7 linked regions of the Callithrix jacchus genome follow. The protein of the gene in region 4 purifies or fractionates together with the protein of the main gene of each other region. This does not show direct contact. Links are inferred from orthologs where the notes say so. Each region holds a gene or a part of one and is shown on either strand. Other genes may lie near its edges. The genes, in order: EPC2, ACTL6A, ZNHIT6, RUVBL1, NOPCHAP1, NOP58 and DPCD.

What was found.
Region 1: the proteins of RUVBL1 (region 4) and EPC2 purify together in Homo sapiens (co-immunoprecipitation; 3 studies listed by BioGRID and IntAct, counting the BioPlex papers as one, with this or other methods). This does not show direct contact. The link is inferred for Callithrix jacchus from reciprocal best matches to the Homo sapiens genes RUVBL1 and EPC2.
Region 2: the proteins of RUVBL1 (region 4) and ACTL6A purify together in Homo sapiens (affinity purification with mass spectrometry; 10 studies listed by BioGRID and IntAct, counting the BioPlex papers as one, with this or other methods). This does not show direct contact. The link is inferred for Callithrix jacchus from reciprocal best matches to the Homo sapiens genes RUVBL1 and ACTL6A.
Region 3: the proteins of RUVBL1 (region 4) and ZNHIT6 purify together in Homo sapiens (co-immunoprecipitation; 3 studies listed by BioGRID and IntAct, counting the BioPlex papers as one, with this or other methods). This does not show direct contact. The link is inferred for Callithrix jacchus from reciprocal best matches to the Homo sapiens genes RUVBL1 and ZNHIT6.
Region 5: the proteins of RUVBL1 (region 4) and NOPCHAP1 purify together in Homo sapiens (affinity purification with mass spectrometry; 4 studies listed by BioGRID and IntAct, counting the BioPlex papers as one, with this or other methods). This does not show direct contact. The link is inferred for Callithrix jacchus from reciprocal best matches to the Homo sapiens genes RUVBL1 and NOPCHAP1.
Region 6: the proteins of RUVBL1 (region 4) and NOP58 purify together in Homo sapiens (affinity purification with mass spectrometry; 4 studies listed by BioGRID and IntAct, with this or other methods). This does not show direct contact. The link is inferred for Callithrix jacchus from reciprocal best matches to the Homo sapiens genes RUVBL1 and NOP58.
Region 7: the proteins of RUVBL1 (region 4) and DPCD purify together in Homo sapiens (affinity purification with mass spectrometry; 6 studies listed by BioGRID and IntAct, counting the BioPlex papers as one, with this or other methods). This does not show direct contact. The link is inferred for Callithrix jacchus from reciprocal best matches to the Homo sapiens genes RUVBL1 and DPCD.

Annotation. Positions count from the first base shown.
Region 1 is NC_133507.1:81,631,839-81,635,338, reverse strand, and holds part of EPC2 (enhancer of polycomb homolog 2), read left to right. Parts: intron 1-768; coding exon 769-858; intron 859-2,394; coding exon 2,395-2,540; intron 2,541-2,646; coding exon 2,647-2,990; intron 2,991-3,500. UniProt on the Homo sapiens protein: May play a role in transcription or DNA repair.
Region 2 is NC_133516.1:7,809,714-7,813,213, forward strand, and holds part of ACTL6A (actin-like protein 6A), read left to right. Parts: intron 1-863; coding exon 864-925; intron 926-1,124; coding exon 1,125-1,239; intron 1,240-1,384; coding exon 1,385-1,465; intron 1,466-3,500.
Region 3 is NC_133508.1:122,939,871-122,943,370, reverse strand, and holds part of ZNHIT6 (box C/D snoRNA protein 1), read left to right. Parts: intron 1-2,671; coding exon 2,672-2,775; intron 2,776-3,500. UniProt on the Homo sapiens protein: Required for box C/D snoRNAs accumulation involved in snoRNA processing, snoRNA transport to the nucleolus and ribosome biogenesis.
Region 4 is NC_133516.1:74,067,474-74,070,491, forward strand, and holds the end of RUVBL1 (ruvB-like 1), read left to right. Parts: intron 1-989; coding exon 990-1,081; intron 1,082-2,080; coding exon 2,081-2,240; 3' UTR 2,241-2,518; downstream 2,519-3,018. UniProt on the Homo sapiens protein: Possesses single-stranded DNA-stimulated ATPase and ATP-dependent DNA helicase (3' to 5') activity; hexamerization is thought to be critical for ATP hydrolysis and adjacent subunits in the ring-like structure contribute to the ATPase activity.
Region 5 is NC_133510.1:107,919,013-107,923,041, reverse strand, and holds the start of NOPCHAP1 (NOP protein chaperone 1), read right to left. Parts: upstream 2,801-4,029; 5' UTR 2,775-2,800; coding exon 2,660-2,774; intron 655-2,659; coding exon 568-654; intron 1-567. UniProt on the Homo sapiens protein: Client-loading PAQosome/R2TP complex cofactor that selects NOP58 to promote box C/D small nucleolar ribonucleoprotein (snoRNP) assembly. Acts as a bridge between NOP58 and the R2TP complex via RUVBL1:RUVBL2.
Region 6 is NC_133507.1:123,462,970-123,466,469, reverse strand, and holds part of NOP58 (nucleolar protein 58), read right to left. Parts: intron 1,413-3,500; coding exon 1,249-1,412; intron 1-1,248. UniProt on the Homo sapiens protein: Required for the biogenesis of box C/D snoRNAs such as U3, U8 and U14 snoRNAs. Part of the small subunit (SSU) processome, first precursor of the small eukaryotic ribosomal subunit.
Region 7 is NC_133513.1:94,544,510-94,548,677, reverse strand, and holds the start of DPCD (protein DPCD), read right to left. Parts: upstream 2,801-4,168; 5' UTR 2,792-2,800; coding exon 2,728-2,791; intron 1-2,727. Other genes in the region: POLL (DNA polymerase lambda), read left to right, coding at 2,956-3,101, 3,738-3,898. UniProt on the Homo sapiens protein: May play a role in the formation or function of ciliated cells.

The sequences.
Region 1 (3,500 bases), on a different chromosome or scaffold from region 4:
GCCCTCTAATGGGTCAGTGCGACTGCCCTAGAGGTCCACTCAATTACATAGGGATATTTGGCCTGATATGACATGGTCTGGGCACAGTGCTTTCTAATAATGTGACAGCTTTCTGAAAGTCTTTATTCTTTTTCTTTAGGGTAGTTGGCTTATCACATCTTTGTAACCAATCTACTTACCTTAGCAAGTTTTCTTTTCTCTTCTGATTTTCTGCTTCTGGTCTATTAAGTTTACAAAATAATTTTTAGGAAATGAGTGGGGAGATAAAAGACTTTTCTTTGAGTAAAATCTGACCTTTATGACTTTGGTTTTTTTGTTGTGGTGGTTTCTTTGGGCTATTTATAAGCTGTTTTTACATCCTAGTTTTTGGCTTTATTACAGAGAGATAAAGTTATTGAATAAAAATAAACTTACCTATAGGTGAAATATAACTGTCATCATTAAATATTTATAGCCACATACATTATTACATTATTTATAAAATATAGTGGGATGTATACAAACTATATTAATTCTAAGTCAGTAGCATTTCATGTTTAGAAGCAATCAAGCAATGCCAGGTACAGTTAACCTCTAAGAACTAATCCATTAAAAATAAGGATTTTTAGCCATAGAACATTTTTACTAGTCATTGAATGTTTTGGGGAATTCAGCACCTACTATATATAATATAGAAGTGATTTACTGTTTGTGATCAGATTTAAATTTTACAGCATTACAAACATTGATCTTTTGATAACTCATAAATGGAATGCCTTTTTTGTCTAGGTATTGTCCCCAGTATCAGAACCAGAAGAAGAAAATGATCCTGATGGTCCCTGTGCTTTCAGAAGGCGGGCAGGATGCCAATATTATGCTGTAAGAACTTTTTTGTGTGTGTGGTGTTTTTGTGAACTGGAATTAACAGGTAACCCATGTCAAGATGACTTAGTCTTGATCTAAAAATGGGAAGTGCATCAGTACTTTTTATTTAACATCCTTTATGTGGATACTGGTAAAAGATGCTTAAAAGGTACTGAGTCCTTTCAAAGGGTATTGAAATCCTCTTAGAAATTGATAATTCCTCACATTTTAGAAATTTAGTTTCATTTTGGGCTCTAATTATAACTTCAGCAGTTGTGAAAATTACTTGGTATGTCATTACTAGAATTAGGAAAACCCAGAATTTGTAAGTTGAGTCTAGAACCTTTGATGGCTGCTAGGTGATTACTGAAATTTATTGTTATGTAAGCCCATCTTGTGCATACATACCAATAAGTATCAAACAAAGTAATAATTTTTGAACTTTCCTAATGGCGATGTTTTGTCTAAAAATTGTGGTGGTGGCTTTTTTGGGCTATTTATAAGCTGTTTTAACACACATAGAAGTTGCTTTATGCTATGAAGTCAAATTATATCACTCTCCAAGGTTCTTAGATGAAGTGTAATGTAGCCTTGTAAGGATGGCTTTGGCTTTCTTATATGGCTTGTAGAGATCATATATCTTATAACATGATGGTAAACATACACTGACAACTTTTTTAGGGTGTGTAAATTTAGAAGAGGTGATTTGTCTACTGGTTATGCTGATGAGAGAAAGGAAAATTCTTAAGAAAAGGGACAGACATAGCATGACAGAATGATGGAGGGAATGGGAAGGCAGGGAACAGGCTGTTTGTATGTATATGTGTGTGTATGTATGTATGTATTTATGAGAAAGAGTCTTGCTCTGTCACTCAAGTTGGAGTACAGTGGTGCAGTCATACAGTTCACTGTAACTTTAAACTCATAGGTTCAAGCAGTCCTCCCACCTCAGCCTCCTGGGATTACAGGCACACACAACCACATGCTGTTAATTTATGTATTTTTCTGTAGAGACAGGGTCCTGCTACATTGCCCAGGCTGATCTTGAACTCCTGATCTCTAGTAATCCTCTTGTCTTGGCCTCCTAAAGTGCTAGGATTACAGGCATGAGCCACTGTGTTCCACTTGGTTGTATGTTTCTTAAAAATGAAGAGGAAGCTTCAGTTTGACCCCATAAGTGTTTGAAGTGCGATTTTTAGTCCAAAAAATATTCTTTCTGGTTCTCAGTAGAAAACCTAAAAATTACTCTGTAATTTCACCATTTCTACTTTGTACGCAAATGTTAAAAGCTGTATTATTTTAAAGATATATTCCTTTTTAAGCATAATTGACCCTAAATGAATTTATAAACTAAATTCAGTTTGGGTAATCTTGGGTAATCTTGGTTAGTGAACTTTTGATTCGGTTTTATAAAATTTAACCTGATTAATAGTTTCATGTCGAAATTTTAATTGTTCCGCTAATGTTGCAGTTGCTTCATTTTTATCATGATCTAACCTGTCTTCATTTCAGATTTATTCCATGGGTTTTTCTTTCTTTCTTTATTTGCAGCCTCGTTTGGACCAAGCTAACCATTCATGTGAAAATTCAGAATTGGCAGATTTGGATAAGTTGAGGTATAGGCATTGCCTTACAACACTTACAGTCCCGAGAAGATGTATAGGATTTGCAAGGAGGCGAATTGGCAGGGGTGGAAGGTGAAGTATTTGTTTTCACCTGGTTTTTGTTTACGATATGGAACAGAAGACCAAGAGAAAATGTTAAGCTCTGTCAGTTAATATTTGGTTTTATTTTGCTTTTCAGGGTCATAATGGACCGAATATCCACAGAACATGACCCAGTCCTGAAACAGATAGACCCTGAAATGCTGAATAGTTTTTCAAGCTCTTCCCAAACTACAGACTTTTCTTCTAATTTCTCTCGGACCAATGCTTCTAGTAAACATTGTGAAAATAGACTGTCCCTTTCTGAAATATTAAGCAATATCAGATCATGTCGACTACAGTGTTTCCAGCCAAGGCTACTAAATTTACAGGACAGTGATAGTGAAGAGTGTACCTCAAGAAAACCAGGGCAGACTGTGAACAATAAAAGAGTTTCTGCGGCATCTCTAGCTTTATTGAACACCAGCAAGAATGGCATATCAGGTAAGCTGTTGCTGTGTTAAAAGTATATCCTGCTATTCTTTTCCACTTAATTTTATTATCTACTAAATAAATTCTCAGGGTAAAATTTGAAGATTTATTTTCCCACTTAGGAAAGGAATTTTATCTTTACTACATTTTTTTTTCCAACCTAGAAACCAAATTGTACTGTTGTGCCTCACATTTTAACCAAATTGCCCTAACCAGTGCTGTAAAACCAGTGACATCTATTTTGAGTGTGTGCCTGGTATGATCAATGTAGGCAGAATGCATACAGTGTTTCCCTATGGGCACCCTGCTTATAAGCTGCCACTAGATCATCACAGCATAGTACTATCTGGTGCTTATGTTAAAGGTAGTTTTCATTTTGGTGTGTTGAACTTTGATTAAATGTAACTATTGCTTCTTGAGAGTACCTTTGAAAACACTTTCTGAAAATGATTTTTAGAAGACTCTATGAATAATTTTTTTTTTAAGATGGGGTCTCACTCTGTCGCCCAGTCTGGAGTATAG
Region 2 (3,500 bases), about 66 Mb from region 4:
GACAGAGTCTCACTCTTGCCCAGGCTGGAGTGCAGTAGTGCAATCTTGGCACACAGCAACCTCCGCCTCCTGGGTTCAAGTGATTCTCCTGCCTCAGCCTCCTGAGTAGCTAGGACTATTTAGTAGAGATGGGGTTTCACCGGTTAGCCAAGATGGTCTTGCTCTCCTGACCTCATGATCTGCCTGCCTTGGCCTCCCAAAGTGCTGGGATTACAGGTGTGAGCCACCCCTGTGTTGCCCAGGCTGGTCTTGAACTCCTGGCCTCAACTGATCCTCCTACCTTAGCCTCCCAAAGTGCTGAGATTTCAGGCATGAGCCACTGCACCCCACTCTATCTGACAGTTTTTGTACCTAAAAATGAAGATTTTTTTAATATGAGGAAAAATTAGGATGATTAGTCATTTTTTTCTAGATACTAAACAAGATTTTTCTAGAGGTCATATTAGTTCATAGCATTTTATTAAACTGTTTTATACACTGTACAGTCATTAAAAGTTGCATAAAATGTGATGTATATATGTTGCTTCTAATCTAGCTTATTTTTAAGGAGAAACTGGTCTTCTGAAGTTGGTTTTGTTATGCAGGACTGTGGTGCAGGGGTTCCCTGTTGTTTACCTCTTATGATTGTTTCATAACTGTCGTAACTTAAATGTGTGTAATTTAGCCTCTAATGCAAATGTTTAGCGTTGGGTTTCTTGATACTCAGAATCCTTGTGAGGTAGATTTATACTCTTGAAATTATTTACCCATACAGAAACAGGGTCCAGTTTTATTCCGAAAAGTATTTAAAATATGTTATAAAAGTGTAGATTAAAAAGATAAATCTCAACCTTGTTTTTTAAACTTTTTTCTTTTACTCATAGTGTGTTATCCAGGATTTTCAAGCTTCAGTACTTCAAGTGTCGGATTCAACTTATGATGAACAGTATGTTTTCTTATTTAAATTGTTACTTTATAAATAAGGAAAGGATTTGTTTAAAAAATATCATGGAACGTACTTAATTGAATAATGCTTAAAATATTCTCACTCCCATTATTTTAAAAGTTGATAATTCCCTAGTAGTTTATCATTTCGAAGAGAATTAATTTTGTCTTTTGTGTGATACTGTTTAATACGTTTTCAGAGTGGCTGCACAGATGCCAACTGTTCATTATGAATTCCCCAATGGCTACAATTGTGATTTTGGTGCAGAGCGGCTAAAAATTCCGGAAGGATTATTTGACCCTTCCAATGTAAAGGTATAAAAGCTTATTTCATAATGAGCCTGGCTTTTTCTATATGTGTAAGGAGTGTTTGTGATTATAAAATAAGACTAAAACGTTTTGGATGTGCTTTAACTGTTTGAAGTTCTTCCATGTGACTCTTTGTTTTCTTTTGTTGTAGGGGTTATCAGGAAACACAATGTTAGGAGTCAGTCACGTTGTCACCACAAGTGTTGGGATGTGTGATATTGATATCAGACCAGTAAGTGCCAGATCTTTTAGGGTACTGACGTGTCTCCAAGTCATTGTTAGGTTGTCAGTGTCATTGACTTTGAAGTTTGTTTTATAACAGTAGATATAAAAAGAGGAAGTACTGAAAAAGGAAAAGTCAAAACTCTAGAGCTATGGAGTCCGGACTGGTAGCTACCTGCCACATGTAGCAATTTAAATTAAATAAAAACTTAAAATTCAGCTCTTCAGTTATAGTAGCCTCATTATACATGTGGCTGGTGGCTGCTTCATCAGGCAGGGCAGATACAGAACATTTGTATCATCACAGAAAGTTCTTATAGAAGGTGCCACGCTGGAGATTTCCTGAAATGTGGCCAACCAAAATATGTATTATTGGTGATTTTCTTTTTTTTTCTTGAGACGGAGTTTCACTCTTGCTACCCATGCTGGAGTGCAATGGCATGATCTCGGCTCACCACAACCTCCGCCTTCTGGGTTCAGGCAGTTCTCCTGCCTCAGCCTCCTGAGTAGCTGGGATTACAGGCACGCACCACCATGCCCAGCTAAGTTTTTGTATTTTTAGTAGAGACGGGGTTTCACCATGTTGACCAGGATGGTCTCAATCTCTTGACCTCGTAATCCACCTGCCTCAGCCTCCCAAAGTGCTGGCATTACAGGCTTGAGCCACCGCGCCCGGCCCCTGGTGATTTTCTTAAAGATAGCACAACTTCTGCATTTCTTTTTCAGGAAGGTGTGTTTTAAATTATATGAGTAACTTTTACATGAAGTTCATATTAGATGATCTTCATATTTTTTTGTGCTTTGTCAGGTTTTAAATACTAGCCCCATGTTATATACTTCACTCATTATCAGTGATAGGACCTTGGAGACTGCAACTTTAAGTGAAATGATGTACAGTAGGTTCTTGAAGGACATTGTTTCAGGAAAAAAATTGGTTTTGTTACGTCGTTTTCCTGAAAGTCAGTTTCCAAGGACATATTGATGACATTAAGTGAGGACTGACGTCATCTTATTTAAACCCGATTCGATTAAGCTTATTGCTCGCAGACTGCCTGGATTTTGAGTAAATTAATTTGCTTAAAGCATAGAGTGCTAACAGCTACTATGTTGTTCAGAAAAGACTTGGAGTGGCTGTGAAAATCATACTTTATTTCACCGGAAACCTAGCAGGCATGTGATGTTTCAAGGACCAATAGGAGTGTCAGTTTGGGATTTTTTTTTTTAGCGCACATACAAGTCCACCTTTGGGGAAAGGTAATTGAAGTATATTTGTTGCAACAGTGGTAACTTTATTTTTAGTGAAATTTCTCCTTTTAACTAATGAGGTACTTTTTTATTCCATTTTCTACTTCAAAATTTAGATGATTTAGACATTTTGAATATGTTTTAAAAATAGGAATTTATCCACTAAAACAGGTTGACTTTTAACCTTCTGAAGCATACATGCAAATTCAAAGTAAATATATTTTGTATAAGTAGTAGTTTATTTTTATTTGGGGAAGCCTCACTTGTGTTTTAGAAAACTCCCATGTACTTCTGATGCATACCTCTGCAAAAGAGAAAGGTAGCAATCATTTTGGACAGGATTATGTTCAGAGTTCATCTTTGTCCATCATAATCATAAATTTTGAATATCCTAACTTCCAGATAAGCATTCTTTTTCAAAATATTTGTAATTTTAATTTTTGGCTGGTGGTTGGTATTAAATTTTCCAGATGAGCATTCTAAGATAAAGTTGTTATAAAATACACTTCTATTATTGGCAGCTATCTGCCAAAAAAATGATCATTTTTAGGACGATTCCTTTAAGTTAGCGGTTCTTAAAACTTTGTGCACATTAAACTAATCTTGGGAGTTAAAAAGCATGCCTGCCAGGCACAGTGGCATGTAGTCCCAGTTGCTTGGGAGCCTGAGACAGGAGGAGGATTGTTGGAAGCCGGGAGTTTGAGGCTGTGGTACGCTATGATAGTGCCTGTGAATAGCCACTGCATTCCAATGTAGGCAATATAGCGAGACCCCGTCTCTAAAAGTAATCTTGCCTGGAT
Region 3 (3,500 bases), on a different chromosome or scaffold from region 4:
AAATACAAAAATTAGCCAGGCATGATGGTGTGCCCCTGTAACAACTTGGGAAGCTGAGGTAGGAGGATCACCTGAGCCCAGGAAGGTCAAGGCTGCAGTGAGCTGTGATTGCACCACTGCACCCCGACCTGGGCAGCAGAGTGAAACTCTGTCTCAAAAGAAAAAGAAAGAAGAAAAAGAAACTGGTGAGGGTTTCTAATTCTAAGTGCAAATGGAAACTATGGAAGGATTTTGGACAAAAATTTGCCTTTTGAAAAACCACTCTTGCTGCTCTGTGGACTTTAGGGAGGCAAGAGTGGAAGATTGGAAGCAGGGAGACCATTTATGCAGCTCTTCGCGTGATCCTTGTGAGATAATAGTGGCTTGGGTATGCCCTTAGAATTATTGAGAGGGGATTAGATTCTGATTTTGAAGGAAAAGCTAAGACTTGCTATTCTAATACACTTAATTTTCATACTCTTGCATTGCCTTTTTCATTCCTTAAATACTATGCAGAAGTACAGCTTACATATTTGGAATGTTTGGCAACTGGCGTTACAAAAATTCGTTCATGGTATGATTAAATCATATCCTGCAATTGTGTTCATTTTAGTATTGGAGTTGCAGGATTTTAATACCTTTTAAATACCTTATTTTATTGGTATTGGCATTTTTTATTGGTATTATATTACATGTATCTGAAAGAAAATTATTTATACAGCAACTCTTATTTTTCCTCAAACTTAATTAGGCACAATTAAAATTCTACTTAGAGATAAATTACTTTAAAACTTTTTTTTAATTGTAAAATACAGCATGTATTTGTTTTAGAAAGTCACAGAATGGAAATACACAGTATAATGAAAAATTATAAAATGAACATTCATGTAACTACCACCCAAGTCTAGAATTAGAACATTACTGGCTTCCCAGAAGTTCCATGCCACCCTCTTATGCCCTTCCCTGATCTTTATGTGTGTGAAGATGTTTTTCTAGGGTTTATACCTGAGAATAGAATTGCTTTGTTTTATGGTATGCATATCTTCAGTTTGCCTAGATGTTACCAAAACATTTTCCAAAGTGATATACTAGTTTACACTCTCACCAGTAGTGTATAAATGTACCTGTTGTCATATTCTCACCAATACTTAATTTGGTAAGACTTTAAAAATTTTTGTCAATCTGTTGGCTATGTAATTTTATTATGGTTTTCAATGTGCAGTTCTCTAATTTCTGATGAGAGTTAGGAAGTTATTCCCTCATAATTATTGCCTAAAAGCTTTATACTATTGCATTTTATACTTATGTCTTTAACTGGAATTGATTTTTGGTATCATGTACAGAGAAGGTCCCATTTAATTTTTCATATAGATGATCCACTTTTCCCAGCACCATTTATTGGAAAGTTCATCCTTTCCCTACTGCTCTGTAGGACCACCTTTGTTATATATCAGCATCCCTATATGCTTGGGTTATTTTGTGGGCTTGTCTTTTCCATTCCATTGACCTACTGGTCTATCCTGCACCAATACTACTCTCTCAATTATTTTAGTTTTTTACTGAAACTTGTTATCTGATTAAGGCCTCCCACTTCCTTTTCTCTAGTGTTTGGCTATTCATTGATGTTTGCAAGGCAAAATAATTGCAAATCTAAGCAAAGGATGGCCCATAGCCATAGCTGCTAATGGACTTTTTTTTTTCCTCTATTTCAGTGTAACCATACAAGTTCCCTAGCTTGCTCTCAAAATAGTGATAGTTTCTGGTTCACCCTTTTCCTGAAGGTATATTGGGAGGATTGATCACTGCTATTATAATTATTTATAGTAATCAATACCATTACTGAAACCAAAGTCCTCTAAGTTAGAAAATTACATGCAATTTCTTCAGACAGTTTCCTGCTTAGCCAGTGATAGCTGACCCATTCTTTCCCTTGGCTCATGACTTGATTCTGACTCTACCATTTTACATTGCAAATTCTAGATCCATATTCATTTAACAGAAAACTTGCATTTATACTTTACCTTTTCTTTGAGTGATCTTTTTCCTTGACTTAATAAAAAATCTGGTATTAATTCCTTCGTAACTCTGGAATTCTCCAGTTTAGCTTTTAATCAACCCACGTGGTCAATGTAGTACACATGTCAAAGCAAGAATGTTCTCATATCCCATTTTGTGCTTCACACAACAGTGGCTACTTTAAGCTAGGCCTGGTACTAGGCAGTGCCATGGCTCTTCCCTTGAGTGAATTGTCTACTAATAAAATCAGGGATACATACAACTAACTGGTAAAACCATCAGTAAAAGCAATCAAGAATTGTGTAGGTAGCCCCTATGATTGCCAAATGACCTGTTTGTTTGTTTGTTTGTTTTAATCTCCATTAAATTATTCTTTGACTCATAGCACTTATGGTTAAAAACACAAGCTCTAGAATTAGACCTGGGTTGAATACAGGTTCTTTCTCTCTGGGATAGCTGTATAATGTTGGTATCTCACTAATTCTTATTGCTGAAATGGAGATGATAATACCTATTCTGATAGTATCATTGTGAAGATTACATGAGATTACTTCTTAGAGCTGTTGTAACACTTAGGTTTTCAGTAAATCTAAACTATTATTGAACAATTGTTTCACTCACTTTTTAAATTTGAAGCATTTAAAAGTTAATTTGTCTGTTTGGTTTTGGTTGGTAGATGTACTTTATGAAAAATCGTGCCCGAAGGCAAGGTATTAATTTAAAACTTCTACCCAACGGATTCACCAAGAGGAAGGAGAATTCAACATTTTTTGATAAGAAGTAAGTTTCTAACTTCTTAGTATATCAGGTGTTGTGATTTGATCAGGATCACCGTTTAAGGTTTGGTTGCTATAGAGCATTGCTACCCCAAGTGTGAGTCTGTAAACTGTTTGTTGTTGGTCCATGACAAGATAGCTGTAGTAATTGTGTGTCATGTAACTCTAATAAAAATTTGGGTCTGCAGAGTGTGTGTGTGTTTGTCTGTGTGTGTGTGTTTCTTCATATCATTTGAGAAACTTCTCAAACATTAATGTGCCTATCAGTCACCTAGGCATCTTGTTAAATATGCTCGTTGTGATTTTTCAGTAGGCCTGAGTTGAAGTTTCATATTGTGCATTTCTAACAAACTCCTCAGTGATGCTGATTGTTTGAGGAACATATTTTGAGTAGCAGCACCCTAGAACACTCTCATACATTAGAAATAAACTGTTTCTTTGACACCTAAGATGCCAAGAAAGTATTTCAGGGGCTTCCAGGACAAAACAGCAAGTAAAAGCAGGACTCCTGTATGTTTTAATCAAGGCAGCTCTGCTTTTATATTTTTTCTGCATTGGGTTTCTAAAGATTTCATTTAAAAGCTGTCAATGGAGAAGAAGGGGACTTTGAACTCTTTTCAGTATAGATAATGTAACAGATTAGTTTGCTGCTGTCTGAAAAATGTTGAGTTGAAAAGGCCCCAAAAATACTGAGGAGAATAGGATCCCAAAGTACTTTAAGTAGCCAAC
Region 4 (3,018 bases):
CCCCCAACCCCAACCAGGATCATCAGAGACTGGCTCCCCACCCCTGGAACTCCTGCCCGCAGGGTCCCGGCCTGGAGAGCTGACAGGTGAGGCTTGACATGGCCACCTCAGTAAACCTCTGGCTCTCCTCCCTCCTGGATGGCAGAAGCTGGGACTCAGTCTTTCCCAGCTCCTGGGCCTCTACCCTGGGTGTGCTTTTATGGCTTTAATTTCAACAAGGGCTTCTGGATATCTTGTTTACGAAGCTGCCAAAGTGAAAAATTCCTGTATTATATGCGGCTCGAAGTCCTGCAGTTATCTCAGCTCCACAACACACAACATCATTATCCCGGCTGCCCCTTATCACTCAGTGCTGGTGCGCCTGCAGGATCCTGGTCCACTATGTTACAGTGTCTCCGCCGCCAGCTTGCCTCCCCTCCACCTCTACGAAGATCTTCAAACTGCAACAAGCGTCAGCCTCTTCTTGATAGATTAGATATCTCCTGGTGATGTTATGAGGCCTGGTAAATTTTAAAAGTAACTTTTTTGATTTATTTAACCATCATATTTATCAAGCAAATAAAAAATGTCTCTTGCCTGAGTGCTTGTGGTACCCATGCTGGAGAGGAAGGTTAGAGCTCTTGAGGGAGCCCAGGGCAGGTTAGAAGAGGCCTCAGTTCTCTGTCTGGGGACAGGGGAGGTCAGGATGTGGAGTCAAGAGTGAGCCACCTGGGAAGCCACACACCTCCTGAGGCGCCAGCCACACTGAATCAGTTGAACACAGCACACTGGCCGTGATGCCATTCATGCATACTTTGGGGCCATACATGCCTGGAAGGTGCTGGGCTGGCAGTGCTGGGCAGGTGTTGGCTCCCTGCCCACCAGCCCAGGTCTTGGTTTCTCTTACGCTGCACAGTGAGAAATACTGAGTGACATTGTCTTTAAAGTACTTTAGAAATGGGGTGCTTGAGGTCAGTCACTGTTGATTGTGTTTTTTTCTCCTCTAAAAGATCATTAAAATCCGCGCCCAGACGGAGGGAATCAACATTAGTGAGGAGGCACTGAACCACCTGGGGGAGATTGGCACCAAGACCACACTGAGGTGAGCTGGTACCCTGAGCCCACCGGGGCCTCCTCAGCACAGCCAGGGCCCTCGCTGTGGTCGTTCTGGGCAATAAAGGCAGGTCCCCTCCCAGGCCACAGTACTATATCCATCTGCTCTTCCTGGTGTGTTGGGTGCCAGGGCAGTTGAGTTTCAAATGCAGAGGATCTAGCTGATGGTTTTTAACAGGGTAGAGTAAGGCCGAATTCCCTGTTTCCTACAGCAGATTCTCCCCTCTTGTGGAGAGTGCTTTGACCCTGGGCCTTCTTGTGGCAGAGAAGGTGCACAGAACTAGAGAGCAGGGCCCATGTGGCAGCTCATTAGCCCGGGCCCTGGCTCCTGTTCTCCTGCTGATATTATGAGACCTGGGAAATCTTTAACATTTTTATTTAACCATTATATTTATCAAGCAAATAAAAAATGTCTGGGGGCCTGCAGACCATGTCCTTAACAGTGGCCTAACTTATTGTAAAATCATTGCTTCACAGTCCTCAGCCCTTCCCAACATCCCTTGAGTCAGTTCTTGCTCCTGAGGTTGAAGGCAGAGATGCAAGCTGTGAGATCTGGAAAAGGGGGACTTTTTAAATTGACGGAGTCTTCGTGCCTTTCGATAGGCATGTACTTCCAGCTGGCCGTGTTTTCGTTTCCCTGCCATGTTAAATATCCCTATCTGTTAGGCACCTGTATACATCTAAGTTTGCAGTCCTTTTCCAGTAGCAGTGGCGTTACTTCCTATTGGAGAGAATTTGTAGACTGTACTAAAGATTTGGGGAAAGCACTTAAGTCTTGTTCGTGGCTCCTGGCCCGTCTCTCATGGGGTAGTGACTGCAGCTCTCTGAGAAGTGACAACTTTGTTTCCACTTCTCTGTGTTCACAACAGCTAGCACAAGCCTAGCATTTGGAACTGCCTCTGGTGCCAGTGCTGCCTACTGATTTGGGGGAAGGGGCTTCCTTTGGTGGCCCCAGTTTCACTTCAGCCTTGGCCTCTGTCCACTCTAGGTACTCAGTGCAGCTGCTGACCCCGGCCAACCTGCTTGCTAAAATCAACGGGAAGGACAGCATTGAGAAAGAGCACGTTGAGGAGATCAGTGAGCTTTTCTATGATGCCAAGTCATCCGCCAAAATTCTTGCTGACCAGCAGGATAAGTACATGAAGTGAGATGGCTGAGGTTTTCAGCAGCAAGAGACTCTCCAGGTGTGCCTGGCCCAGTTCTGGACAGCTCGCCCCTGGGCTTGGGGCTGCTGTCCCACTCAGGCGTGGTCTGCAGTGCTGTCAGTTCAGTGTGGAAAGCATTTCTTTTTAAATTATCATAACTTTTCCTGTGGTTGCTTGTAAAGAACCCTTCCTTACCTGGTGTGTTTTCTATAAATCTTCATAGGTTATTTTGATCTCTCTCTCTTCTTTAAGTTTTTTAAAAATAAACTTTTCAGAACAGTTTTAGATGTACAGAGTCATTGTGAACACACAACAGGGATGTTCACATGTATCTCATACCCAGTTTCCCTTATTGTTAACATGTTACAGCAGATAGCACATTTGTCACAGTGAATGACCAATACCGATGCATTATTATACTGCATTCATATTTTCTCTGTTTTAATTAATGTCTTTTCTTCTGTCCCAGGATTCCATCCATGATACCCCATTACAGGTAGTTGTCATGTCTCCTTAGATGTCTCTTGGCTGTGACATTTTCTTAGATTTTCCATGTTCTTGATGACCCTGACAGTTTTGAGGAGGACTAATCAGGTATTCTGCAGAACATCCCTCAATTGGGCTTTGTCTGATGCTTTTTTCATGAGTAGACTGGGATTGTGGATTATGGAAAGAAAGACCTCAGAGGTAAAATCCAGTTTTCATCACATATCATGTGCGGTTCTTATCACATGCTAGCAACATGATGGTGACCTTTACCATTTGGCTGAGGTCAAGTTTT
Region 5 (4,029 bases), on a different chromosome or scaffold from region 4:
TCGCGCAATTGCCCTCCAGCCTGGGTAACAAGAGCGAAACTCTGTCTCAAAAAAAAAAAAAAAAAAAGGAGTGAATTCATAGAGGACATTCATGTAATACAGAAAGTCTGAGTGTGGGACATACTTATAAATGTGTAATATAGCAATGCTACAGAATAATTAACAGAGAATTGGCCCTGTTAAGCTGTATTCTAAGTAATATTTATCATTTAAATAATTGTGTCCAATTCAATAGGATGTGGTTGAGGTTTTCCATCCATATGTATTAAGTTTGAGGCTCACTAACCTCTAAAAAAACTTGCCATGGAAATTAACAATAGTTGTTTTTGACTTCTTAAAATTCATCCCATATGGAGTTTTTCATGCAAAAGTTACTCTCTTAAGGTAGAGAAATAATGTAACAAATTCGATCCTGTGTACTGACTTTATCATGTAAATCCCAAGTAAGACTTGTTCCACTGGACTGTGGATACCTGACCATGAAGGCAGAAACTGTCCCATCAAATAACAGCATAATTAGACAAAACTCAGCATTAGAGAGGGTGAGAGAGGGGAAGAGGTACTTACAGGGACTCCTTTCTATCCGAACTGTTTGAAGAGTGGAAGTCTTTCTGGACTTAGGTTGGGGATTGATGAGCAACCTGTCCCATAGACCTGAAAATATAGACACACAGACACCCTTAATTTACTACAGCATAAAAAAAACAACGGCCCATCAGCAAGCCTCTCACATGACCAGTCTTAAGTCTTGACTGTTCATACTCCCCAAGATTTTTTTTTAAAAAAAAGCGCTCCAAGTTCCAATACAACATTTTAATCCTTTATGGACAGCCACCTCTCCTTTCTGACACCATCTCATTCACCTCTATCACCAATGGAAGTAATAAATGCACACTAAACTACCCCTTTCTGGATCAGAAATTCATCAGGAGACAAATGTGGGTCTGTAATGACAGAATGGAGGAAACAGTACAGAGCATTAAGAGTGGTTAAGCGGTGGCTCATGCCTGTAATCCCAGCACTTTGGGAGGCCGAGGCGGGTGGATCACGAGGTCAAGAGATCGAGACCATCCTGGTCAACATGGTGAAACCCCGTCTCTACTAAAAATACAAAAAATTAGCTGGGCACTGTGGTGTGTGCCTGTAATCCCAGCTACTCAGGAGGCTGAGAGGCAGGAGAATTGCCTGAACCCAGGAGGCGGAGGTTGCAGTGAGCCGAGATCACGCCATTGCACTCCAGCCTGGGTAACAAGAGTGAAACTCCATCTCAAAAAAAAAAAAACAAAAAACAAAAAAACAATGGTTAAGCGAAGCCAGAAACGGTTACTAGTTGTGTAACACTGGGCAAATTACCTGACCTCCGAGCATTTGTTTCTTCATTAGTAAAACATGCTTGCCTGGTATTTCCCCTTCCGTGAAGATGTTCAACCCAAACAAAGCAGCCTTTTGACTACATTATGTCACCCACTCTACCTTTTCAGCCTCATCTCTCACTACTCGAATCATCCCAACTCTCTATCCCATCAGAGTTCCAAGAGGGGAACCTAACAAAACTCAAGGCTCTGCACGCCCTATTTCTAATATCCGAAAAATCCCTTAACTCTGGTTTAAAAACAAAGCCTGTTCACCTGAAAAGCACAGTGCAACACACATCTGCTAAATGCTTGCTACTTAAGGCCTACTGGATTCGTGATCAGAGCACAGACTCTGGAGCCAGAATACCTGAATTCAAGTCCCAGTCTTGCTACTTTCCAGCCACATGATGTCCAGAAAGTAAATTACCTGTATGGTAAATCATGTATCGACTTTCTCAACTATAAAACAGAGACAATAAATTTTCTGCAAAGGGTTGTTGTGAGGATTAAATGTGTTAGCTCCTGGGGCATACACAATAAGCACCACATAGGCTTCGGTTATCATTATTACATGTCCTTAGGAATCTCTGGGTTTTCATAAAGCCTTTTCTTCAACCTAGTATTTATTGACAGCCTGCCCAACCCTTTTATGCATTCTCCTCCTACAAAAATGCTACAGGCACTATTACTACCTCCATTTTCTAAATGCAAAAACTGAGGCTTAGAGAATGAAAATAACTCTAGGGCCTACTAGTTAATTACTAGTGGAGGTGGGATTCGAACTCATGCTTTTAAATTCTATCTGTAGTGTATAAATGCTGTGTGGATTTCCTGGATGCACGTTTCCCTCTACAAGACAGCGGCACTAATGGGTGGTCGGTGTGCGTATGAAGAAGGAAGAGGGACGGTTAGACATAATATTCCTCTGCCTCCCCCTACCAGTCAACTGCTCCGACCCAGGAAGCCCGACCAAAAGCCCTCCCTTCCCCGAAAGAGTTCGAGAGCGTCCCAGCTTCCAGGGCAGCGGAGGTGCCCGGCAGCAGCGCCTGACGGGGTGGGCGCTCACTACCTTGCAAAATATAAGAACCACTAGCTAGGGAAGCCGTTCCGGGCCCGCAGCCGGGTGCCCACTCCAAAGCCCCCACCCCTGCCGCGAGCAGGGCACCCTGGAGCCCCGGAGAAGTCCCCGAGGCTCCCCTCGAGGGTGTGGAGCCCGGGCAGAGAGCCACCGGCCCCGAGCTGCTCCGGTCGCGCCTCCTCCGCCGCAGAAGCGCGGCCCACGCCGTAGTCGTCCGTCCTGTCACCTCCGCGACCGTCGCTTCCCGTAGTCAGCAGCTCCCTGGACACTGGGACCCCCGAGCAGTCCCGGCTGGGAGACGAACAACTCGGGCTAGCCTGGGGATTTCCATGAACCTCCATGCTTCCCGCAAGCCTCCCAAACCTGCACTCTCAGGCCCGGATGCCGGAAAGAGGCTCGAGTAAGGGGGCGGGGAGAGGGCCGCGATTGGAGGAAACTGCAGTGGGCGGAGTAAGGAGCGGAGAGAGGGTCTGGGCGTCCCGTGGGTGCAGCCGGGAGGCTGCGCGGGAGGTTGGGCCGTTCGTACTGTTCGAAAAAGGAAGGTTCTGACACTGTCATAGTAAAAAGGAGCTGGCAAAGCTCTATTTCGCCAAACGAATTGGGGCATAAAGAGCAAAGCATTGGGCTGCCGTCCTCTATCCTTTTTTATTAAATTTATATTTTTAATTAGTGAGAAAAAATAACAAAATCTACCTTCTTAACCGATTTTAATTGAACAATTCAGTGGTGTTAACGATGTTCACATTGTTGTGCAGTGGACCTCTACGTCATTTTCATCGTGCAAAACTGAAACTCTGTACCCATTTGCCCCTACCCCAGTCCCTTGGTAACCACCATTCTTCTTTCTTTCTTTTTTTGAAACAGTCTTGCCGTGTCACCCAGACTGGTGCCTCAACCTCCAGAGTAGCTGGGATTACAGGTGCACACTACCAGGCCCGGCTAATTTTTGTATTTTTGTGTAGAGGCAGAGGTTCACCATGTCGGCCTGGCTGGTCTCAATCTCCTGACCTCAGGAGATCCACCCACCTTGGCCTCCCACAATGCTGGGATTATAGGTGTGAGCCATCATGCCTCGCTACCACGTTTCTACTTTCTGTTACTATGAACTTGACTACTTCAGATACTTCACGTAAGTGGAATCATACAGTACTTGTCTTTTTGTGACTAATTTCACTTAAAATAATATCCTCAAGGTTTAGACATGTAGCACATAACAGGATTCTCTTCTTTTTTAAGCCCGAATAATATGCCATTGTATGTATATGCCACATTTTTTTACCGTTCATCTCAACAAATGCGTGGGTTGCTCTCACCTCGTGGTCATTGTGAAGGATGCTGCAATGAACATGGTTGCACAAATATCTCTTCAAGACCCGCTTTTCGATGCTTTGGTATACATATCCAGACGTGAGATTACTGGATAATATGGTAATTCTACTTCTTAGCTTTTTGAGGAGCCTCCATATTGTTTTTCATAGTGGCTGCACCATTTTACATTCCCACCATCAGTGCACAAGAGTTCCAGTTTCTCCACATCCTTGTCAATAATGTATTTCCTTTTTTGTTGTTGTTTGGTTGCTTCATTCTTTTTGACAG
Region 6 (3,500 bases), on a different chromosome or scaffold from region 4:
CCACGTTGTCCAGGCTGGTCTCAAACTCTGTCCTTGTGATCCGCCTCCCTGACCTCCCAAAGAGCTTGGATTACAGGCATGTGCCACTATGCCTGGCCTTTTTTTTTTTTTTAAACATTTTTATTTTATTTTTTTGAGACCAAGTTTCGCTCTTGTTACCCAGGCTGGAGTGCAATGGCGCGATCTCGGCTCACCGCAACCTCGGTCTCCTGGGTTCAACCAATTCTCCTGCCTCAGCCTCTCGAGTGGCTGGGACTACAGGCATGCACCACCATGCCCAGCTAATTTTTGTATTTTTAGTAGAGATGGGTTTTCACCATGTTGACCAGGATGGTCTCGATCTCTTGACCTTGTGATCCACCCATCTCGGCCCCTCAAAGTGCTGGGATTTATAGGCATAAGCCACCATGCCTGGCTTTTTTTTAACATTTTTAAACTTTAGTTTCTACTCAGTGACATTAGTTCTGTGCCTTGAGATCATTCAGAACAAGTGCATCTTTAACCCATAATAATCTTAAATATGTGTGGTTCTTTTTCTTAAGTTTATTTTATTGAACCCTTTATTACCTCTACCATTCTACTCTAGATTTTATCAAATTTCAGTTTAGTTCTGTTAAACTACACATCATTCAAAAAGACTGAAAGTACTTAACTTGTCTAAGCCTCAGTTTCACCATCAGTAAAACAGAGATACGTATATCTCATAAGGCTATTACAAATTTAGGCCAGGCACGGTGGCTCACACTTGTAATCCCAGCACTTTGGAGGCCAAGGCGGTGGACCATGAAGCCAGGAGCTGGTGAACATGGTGAAACCCCATCTCTACTAAAAATACAAAAAACAGCTGAGCATGGTGGCACGTGCCTATAGTCCCAGGCTTCAGCTGTTGGTCAGGCTGGCCCAACTCCTGATCTCAAGTGACCTGCCTCAGCCTCCCGAGGAGCTGGGACTATAGGCGCCCACAACCATGCCTGGATAATTTTTCTATTTTTAGTAGAGATGGGGTTTCTCCATGTTGGTCAGGCTGGTCTCAAACTCCTGACCTCAGGTGATCCACCCACCGCAGCCTCCCCAATGTTGGGATTACAAACGTGAGCCACCGTACCCCACCACAAAATGCTTTTTACATAACTCACCTTTCTCTATTTAACAAGAAAGAGATTATACGAAGATTTAATATGCACTATAGAGAAAAGTGGTTATATAATAAAAAAGTCCAACCTCAAAAAACAAAACCATGTAACACACCTTTCCTTTGTGCTTGGGACTTGTCTGGCCGACGAGTGAAGCATGATAAATGAGACCATACTTAGGGGTATCCCGTCTAGATTTGAGGGCTCTGAAAAGTGCCTTTTCTGCTCCAAGAATTTGAACTGTAGAAGCTGCATGCTTGGCCAAATTCAAAAGAGAACCTACAAAAGAAGAAAGTTACAAAGAATGCACTTCCAAACATCTGAATGTTCCATGTACTAAAACAAAAGACCTATAGAATTATTATGCCCACCATAATAAAATAAAAATCACATATAATACAGAATTCTTTAAGCCAGAATTCCCTAAAAAGCCTGATGTTTCGTTTCTAATTCCTTCATCAGTACAAGCAGGTTTGTGATGAATGCCTAGGGCAAACTGAAGGTTAAGCTTTTTAGTTCAATGTTTCTATTCACCCCAGAGATGGTAGTACTATTCTATATTCCATTAGTATACTACAGGAGTAACACAAATATGTCACACACGAGAACACTAATCTGGCCCCTATTTTCTGAGATTGTATTAAATATTCTATTGCTTTAGATATGAAAAAGCCTGGCCAGGCACGGTGGCTCATGCCTATAATCCCAGCACTTTGGGAGGCCGAGGCGGGTGGATCACAAGGTCAAGAGATCAAGACCATCCTGGTCGACATGGTGAAACCCCATCTCTACTAAAAATACAAAAATTAGCTGGGCACGGTGGTGCACGCCTGTAGTCCCAGCCACTCGGGAGGCTGAGGCGGGGGTGAGCCAAGATTGTGCCATTGCACTCTAGCCTGGGTAACAAGAGCGAAACTCCGTCTCAAAAACAAACAAACAAAAAGATATGAAAAAGCCTACAAACAAACACATTTATTAGGACATCTCGGTAGCATAACCCTATAATAAATTCACAACTTATTTACTTCTGTTGATTCAGCTGTGGATTAAGAAAATATATTCCTAGAAGTATACTAATAGTTCCCTATCTGTGGTTTCAATTAACTGTGGTCAACTGCAGTCTGAAAATATTAAAAAGGAAATTCCAGAAATAAACAGTTCCAAAGTTTCAAATCTCTTGCCACCGCACTCAGTCCCCATATTCAGATAGGGAGAATATGAATTATCCCTATCTACCCATTAGTCACTTTCCTAGCCCTCTCCACAGTGCAATATTGCAGTGCTTATGTTCATGTAACCAATGCAGAAAAATAGTGACACTGGGATATTGTCATAATTGTTTTATTATTACTGTTGTTGATGTCCTACTGTATCTAACTTATAAATTAAACTTTATCATACGTATGTGTGTTTAGGAAAAAACAGCATATACAGCACAGAGTTCACTACTATCCTCTGTTTCAAACATCCATGGGTGGGGGTGGGGGGGCTCAGAATATATCCTCATGGATAGCTGGGGACTACTGTACTAGTGAGTTATCAACATACTGCTTAGCTGGAAATGTTGTATAGAATATTTCCTGTCAGAAAGCACACTCACCATTAATGCTACAAACTTTACCATGAGACATATTTTTTAAAGTGCAACAAATACATACTTCTTTTTTTGAGATGGAGTTTTACTCTTGTCACCCAGACTGGAGTGCAATGGCACAATTTTGGCTCAGTGCAACCTCCGCCTCCTGGGTTCAAGAGATTCTCCTGCCTCAGCCTCCTGAGTAGTTGGGATTACAGGTGAATGCCCCTATGGCCGGCTAATTTTTGTGCTATTAGTAAGAGACATGTTGGCCAGGCTTGTCTCAAATTCCCAACCTCAGGTGATCCACCCACCTCGGCCTCCCAAAGTACTGGGATTACAGGTGTGAGCCACGGTGCCCAGCCAACAAATACATACTTCTATTAACCCCTGCCATCGATTAGTGCTACAACTTTAGCTGTATGCATGAAAACAGGTGAAGAAAATGAAATCATCTGATCTTACAGCTGCAGGCACTTGAATGAAACCTCTGATTAATGATGCAGCTAAAGAAATTATGCCAGACTGCACGCAGTGGCTCCTGCCTGTAATTTATCCAGCACTTTGCAAGGCCGAGGCAGGTGGATCACCTGAGGTCAAAAGTTTGAGACCAGCTTGGCCAACACAGTGAAACCCCATCTCAACTAAAAATACAAAAATTAGCCAGGCATGGTGGTGGGCGCCTGTAACCCCAGCAACTTGGGAGGCTGAGGCAGGGGAATTGCTTGAACCCGGGAGGCAGAGGTTGCAGTGAGCAGAGACTGTGCCACAGCACTCCAGCCAGTGCAACA
Region 7 (4,168 bases), on a different chromosome or scaffold from region 4:
ACAATGGTAGCCCATCCACTTCATTTTAGAGATGAGGAAAGTGAGGTCCAAACAGGTAAAGGGCTGCCTGCAGAGCCCGTGGTGAAGCATCCAACTGTGGCAACATGGATGAACCTGAAGCATTATGCTAAGTGAAATATGCCAGTTACACAAGGACAAATACGGTATGATTCCACTTAGATGAGGTTCCTAGAGTAGTCAAATTCATAGAGACAGAAAGTAGAATGGTGGTTGCCGGGAGATGGGGGGGAGGGAATGAGGACTTGGCATTTGATGGGTACCGAGTTTCACTTGAGCTAGGTGTAGTGGCACATGCTTGTAGTCCCAGCTATTTAAGAGGCTGAGGTGGGAGTATTACATGAGCCTAGGAGTTCAAGCTAAGATTGCACCAGCCTGGGTGACAGAGTAAGTCCCTGTCTCCAAAAAACAAAAAACAGAACTTCAGTTGAGAAAGATTAAAAAGTTCTGGAGCTGGATGGTGGTGATAGTTGTACAACAATGTGAATGTGCTTAATGCCACAGAACTGTACACTTAAAAATGATTAAATGCTAAATTCTGTTACGTATCTGTTACCACAATAAAAACAAAAACCACTGTCCTATGAAAAAATGTCCTAAATCTTTAGCAAGGCATAAGAGATCTATCACAATATGTCACAATCTATCACAATTTATCTGTAATCTCTCTTCATTTCCTACAACTTCCCCTCGTTGCTGCTTGAGAAAAGGGAACTTTTTATTCTCCCTTCTATCTTGTCACCTAGAATAGTACCTGACATAGTTACAGGTGGTTTATTCTGACTGAGTGACTGCTTTAACATCACTAAACGTTCTGTTATTCCTCTAGTAATCATCTATGTACCTTCACATATGGGCCTTTATATGTGAGTCATTCTTCCTTGAATAACTATCCGCTTCTTCACTCAGCAAACACCTATTAATTCTTTTTTTTTCTTCTGTATTTTGAGACAGGGTCTCGCTCTGTCACCCAAGCTGGAGTGCAGTGGCATGACCTTGGCTCACTGCTGCATCTACCTCCCGGCTCAAGTGATCCTCTGGCCTTAGCCACCACAAGTAGCTGGAACTACAGGCATGTGCCATGACACCCACCTAATTTTTATTTTTTGTTTGAGACAGAGTCTCACTTACTCTGTTACCCAGGCTGGAATGCAGTGGTGTGATCTCAGCTCACTGCAACCTCCGTCTCCTGGGTTCAAGTGATTCTCCTGCTTTAGCCTCTGGAGTAGCTGGAATTACAGGCATACACCTCCATGCCTGGCTAATTTTTGTATTTTTAGTAGAGATGGGGTTTCACCGTGTTGGCCAGGCTGGTCCCGAACTCCTCAGGTGGCCTCAAGTGATCCACCTACCTTGGCCTCCCAAAGTGCTGGGATTGCAGGCATGAGCCACCACCCCCAGCCATAATTTTTGTATTTTTTGTAGAGACAAAGTTGCTCAGGCTGGTCTCAAACTCCTGAGCTCAAATGATCCGCCTGCCTTGGCCTCCCAGAGTGTTGGAATTATGGGCATGAGCCACTGTGCCTGCCCTTATTAATTATTTAGGACCCAGAAACATCATCACTTCTCTTGGGTCTTTCCCCAAAGAGGTATCATATACACTTTCATTATTTCCTACCATTTTATACAAGATTACACCTCTATTTAGCACATCTTATTATTTGCATACATGTTTTTCCCAACCACTGTAAGTCCTGGGACAACATATCTTTTTCTTTCAGTTCAAGTTTAGAGCTTGGCACATAGTAAAAGCCTCCCTAAATGTTGCACTAAAGGGCAAATGATTTTAATTTCCACCAACTTTAGGCTGCCTTGACTGGCCTCTACCTGTGAATGTGAATCACCTGCTGTTATCTTCGAAACCTCAGGAACTTCAGACCCAATTCAACCTGGCTCCCCAGTGGGTCCAGAAAGGACCCAAGTGCACAGAGGGGCGACATCGGCCAATCCTAGGGTGGCAAAAAGTTAGGTATCCATGCCCCTGTGCCCACCTCTTCCAGGCACAGCCCTTGGTCCTTGCTCTAGCTCTCCTAAAGACACAGAAAACATTAAGAGGTTCACTTTAGGCCGGGAGTAGTGGCTCACGCCTGTAATCCAAGCACTTTGGAGGCCAAGACGGGCGGATCACCTGAGGTCGGGAGTTCAATACCAGACTGACCAACATGGTGAAACCCCGTCTTTAAAAAAAAAAAAAGACGTTCACTTTACAAAAATATTACAGCTGGAAAGGGCCTCAGTGGTAGCCCATCCACTTCATTTTACAGACGATGAAAGTGAGGTCCAAACAAATTAAAGGGCTGAAGAGCCCGTGGTGAATTAATGGCAGAGTCGGAACTACAGCCCAGGCCTCTTTCCTCTCTAAAGTCTGAAGCATTCTTGGAGTTCAGTTTCCTCTTCTGTAAAACGGGGTGAAAAATTAACCTCTCAGGACAGTGGTGAGGAGCAAATGAGATAATGAATGTGAAAGAAATTATTATATTAGCAACAAACTCAAAGCAGAGCGAGTTGGTGTAGAGGAATCTAATCGGTGTCCGGAGACCTGTGTTCCAGTCACGTCATCTCTGAGCCTCAGTCTCCTCATCTACAAATGCAGGGACCTGGCCCAGCTGACTGCCGAGACCCTTTCAGCTCTGCAGACCCTGAGGCCTTTCCTGTGGGGTGGACCCTGGGGGGAAAAAACGAGGGAGCTCGCGAGGGCTCTCGAGTTACCATCCTGCAGCAGCGCAGTCTTCTCGGCCGTCCGCAGACTCTCCAACCATCCCGTCACCGCCATCTTTCCTCTGCCAAGCAGCGCGCCCGGCCGCTGCCATGGCAACCGTTCCACTGAGGGTCACTTCCGGCTGACTCGGAAGCTATTCTGGGCATTTGCTCGCTTTTCCCCCTTCGTCCGCTCTCATTGGCTCTCCTGGTAAGTGATTTATTCCTGCCCACCTGCGAATGATCAGCTTGGCCAGTTGTCTAACCCACCCGGGGACCGACTTCGGGGGTTGGAGAGGGACTCTTGGAGCCTGGGTCGGGCGCTGCAGCTTTCCTCTAGCCCGGAGCTGGGATTCCCCGGCCTGCGCCAGCTGCGTACGCGTCGGGTACAGCACACCTGCCCGGGTCTTCTCCATCCCCAGCTGCGAGACTGAGACTCCTCCAATCCGGAGGGTGCCTCACACCTGCTGCGGCCGTGCCCTATCTCCCCGCAGCTGTGGGGCTGAGCACCCCCGTGCCGAGAGGCTGAGACCAGGGCAGGTGCAGGGCGTTCCCACTCACCCCCGAAAGTCCCCCTCCTTAGGTTTTCCTCTGCAACTGTGTTGAAGGTAGAGAAAGATTATGTGGGGTTTATGGTGCAGGTTCTCCCCAGTCTCCGCTCCACTCCCTAGCCCAGTATCCCATTTTGGTAAAGCCCTTCAGAAGGGGGCTGCAGCAGTAGGGCTGTGCTGAATCTTTAGAGCAACCCCAGTGAGGAATGGTGTTGTTTCCTGCTCCTCAAAAGTACCCCCAATGGTCCCAGTCTTCTCATTTCCCCCTAATACTCCGAAAGACTAATACTTTGAAAGGCTGGGGAGTGGGAAGCTAGGCTACACCAGTGAAGTTTAATGGGGTTTGAGGAGACCCCCCCCCAGCACTGTCTCCCCGAACTGGGCTGCTATCCCTAAGGCCTAGTCAGGGAACACCCTACCTCCACAGGCAAATAGGTTGGAGAGCATGAATTTTGAATTTCCACATGACAGCTGCCCTGGTCAACCCTCTGACAGACCGAGATCTAGCCGTACTTCAATGGATCCCAGGGGTATCTTGAAGGCATTTCCCAAGCGGAAGAAAATTCATGCCGATGCATCATCAAAAGTACTTGCAAAGATTCCCAGGAGGGAAGAGGGAGAAGAAGCAGAAGGTGAGTTAACCGACCCTCAGAACCCTCATTCCCTTGAACCCTCAGCCTTCATGTGCTTCAGCCCTACGTTGTTCATGTCCAGAATCAGATATTGGAGCTGACTTTGCCTGTCCAGGGCTTGCAGGTCTGTTTGTACCTGCTTTGTACTAAGCTTGGTCCTGGGTCTTGGACAGGCCATTTGCTGTGTTATCTTCTTTTCTACCCAAAGACCTCTATAAATCAGAAAGGACTCCCTGGACTCTCAGGGAATGACCAGTAGAATTTTTGCCT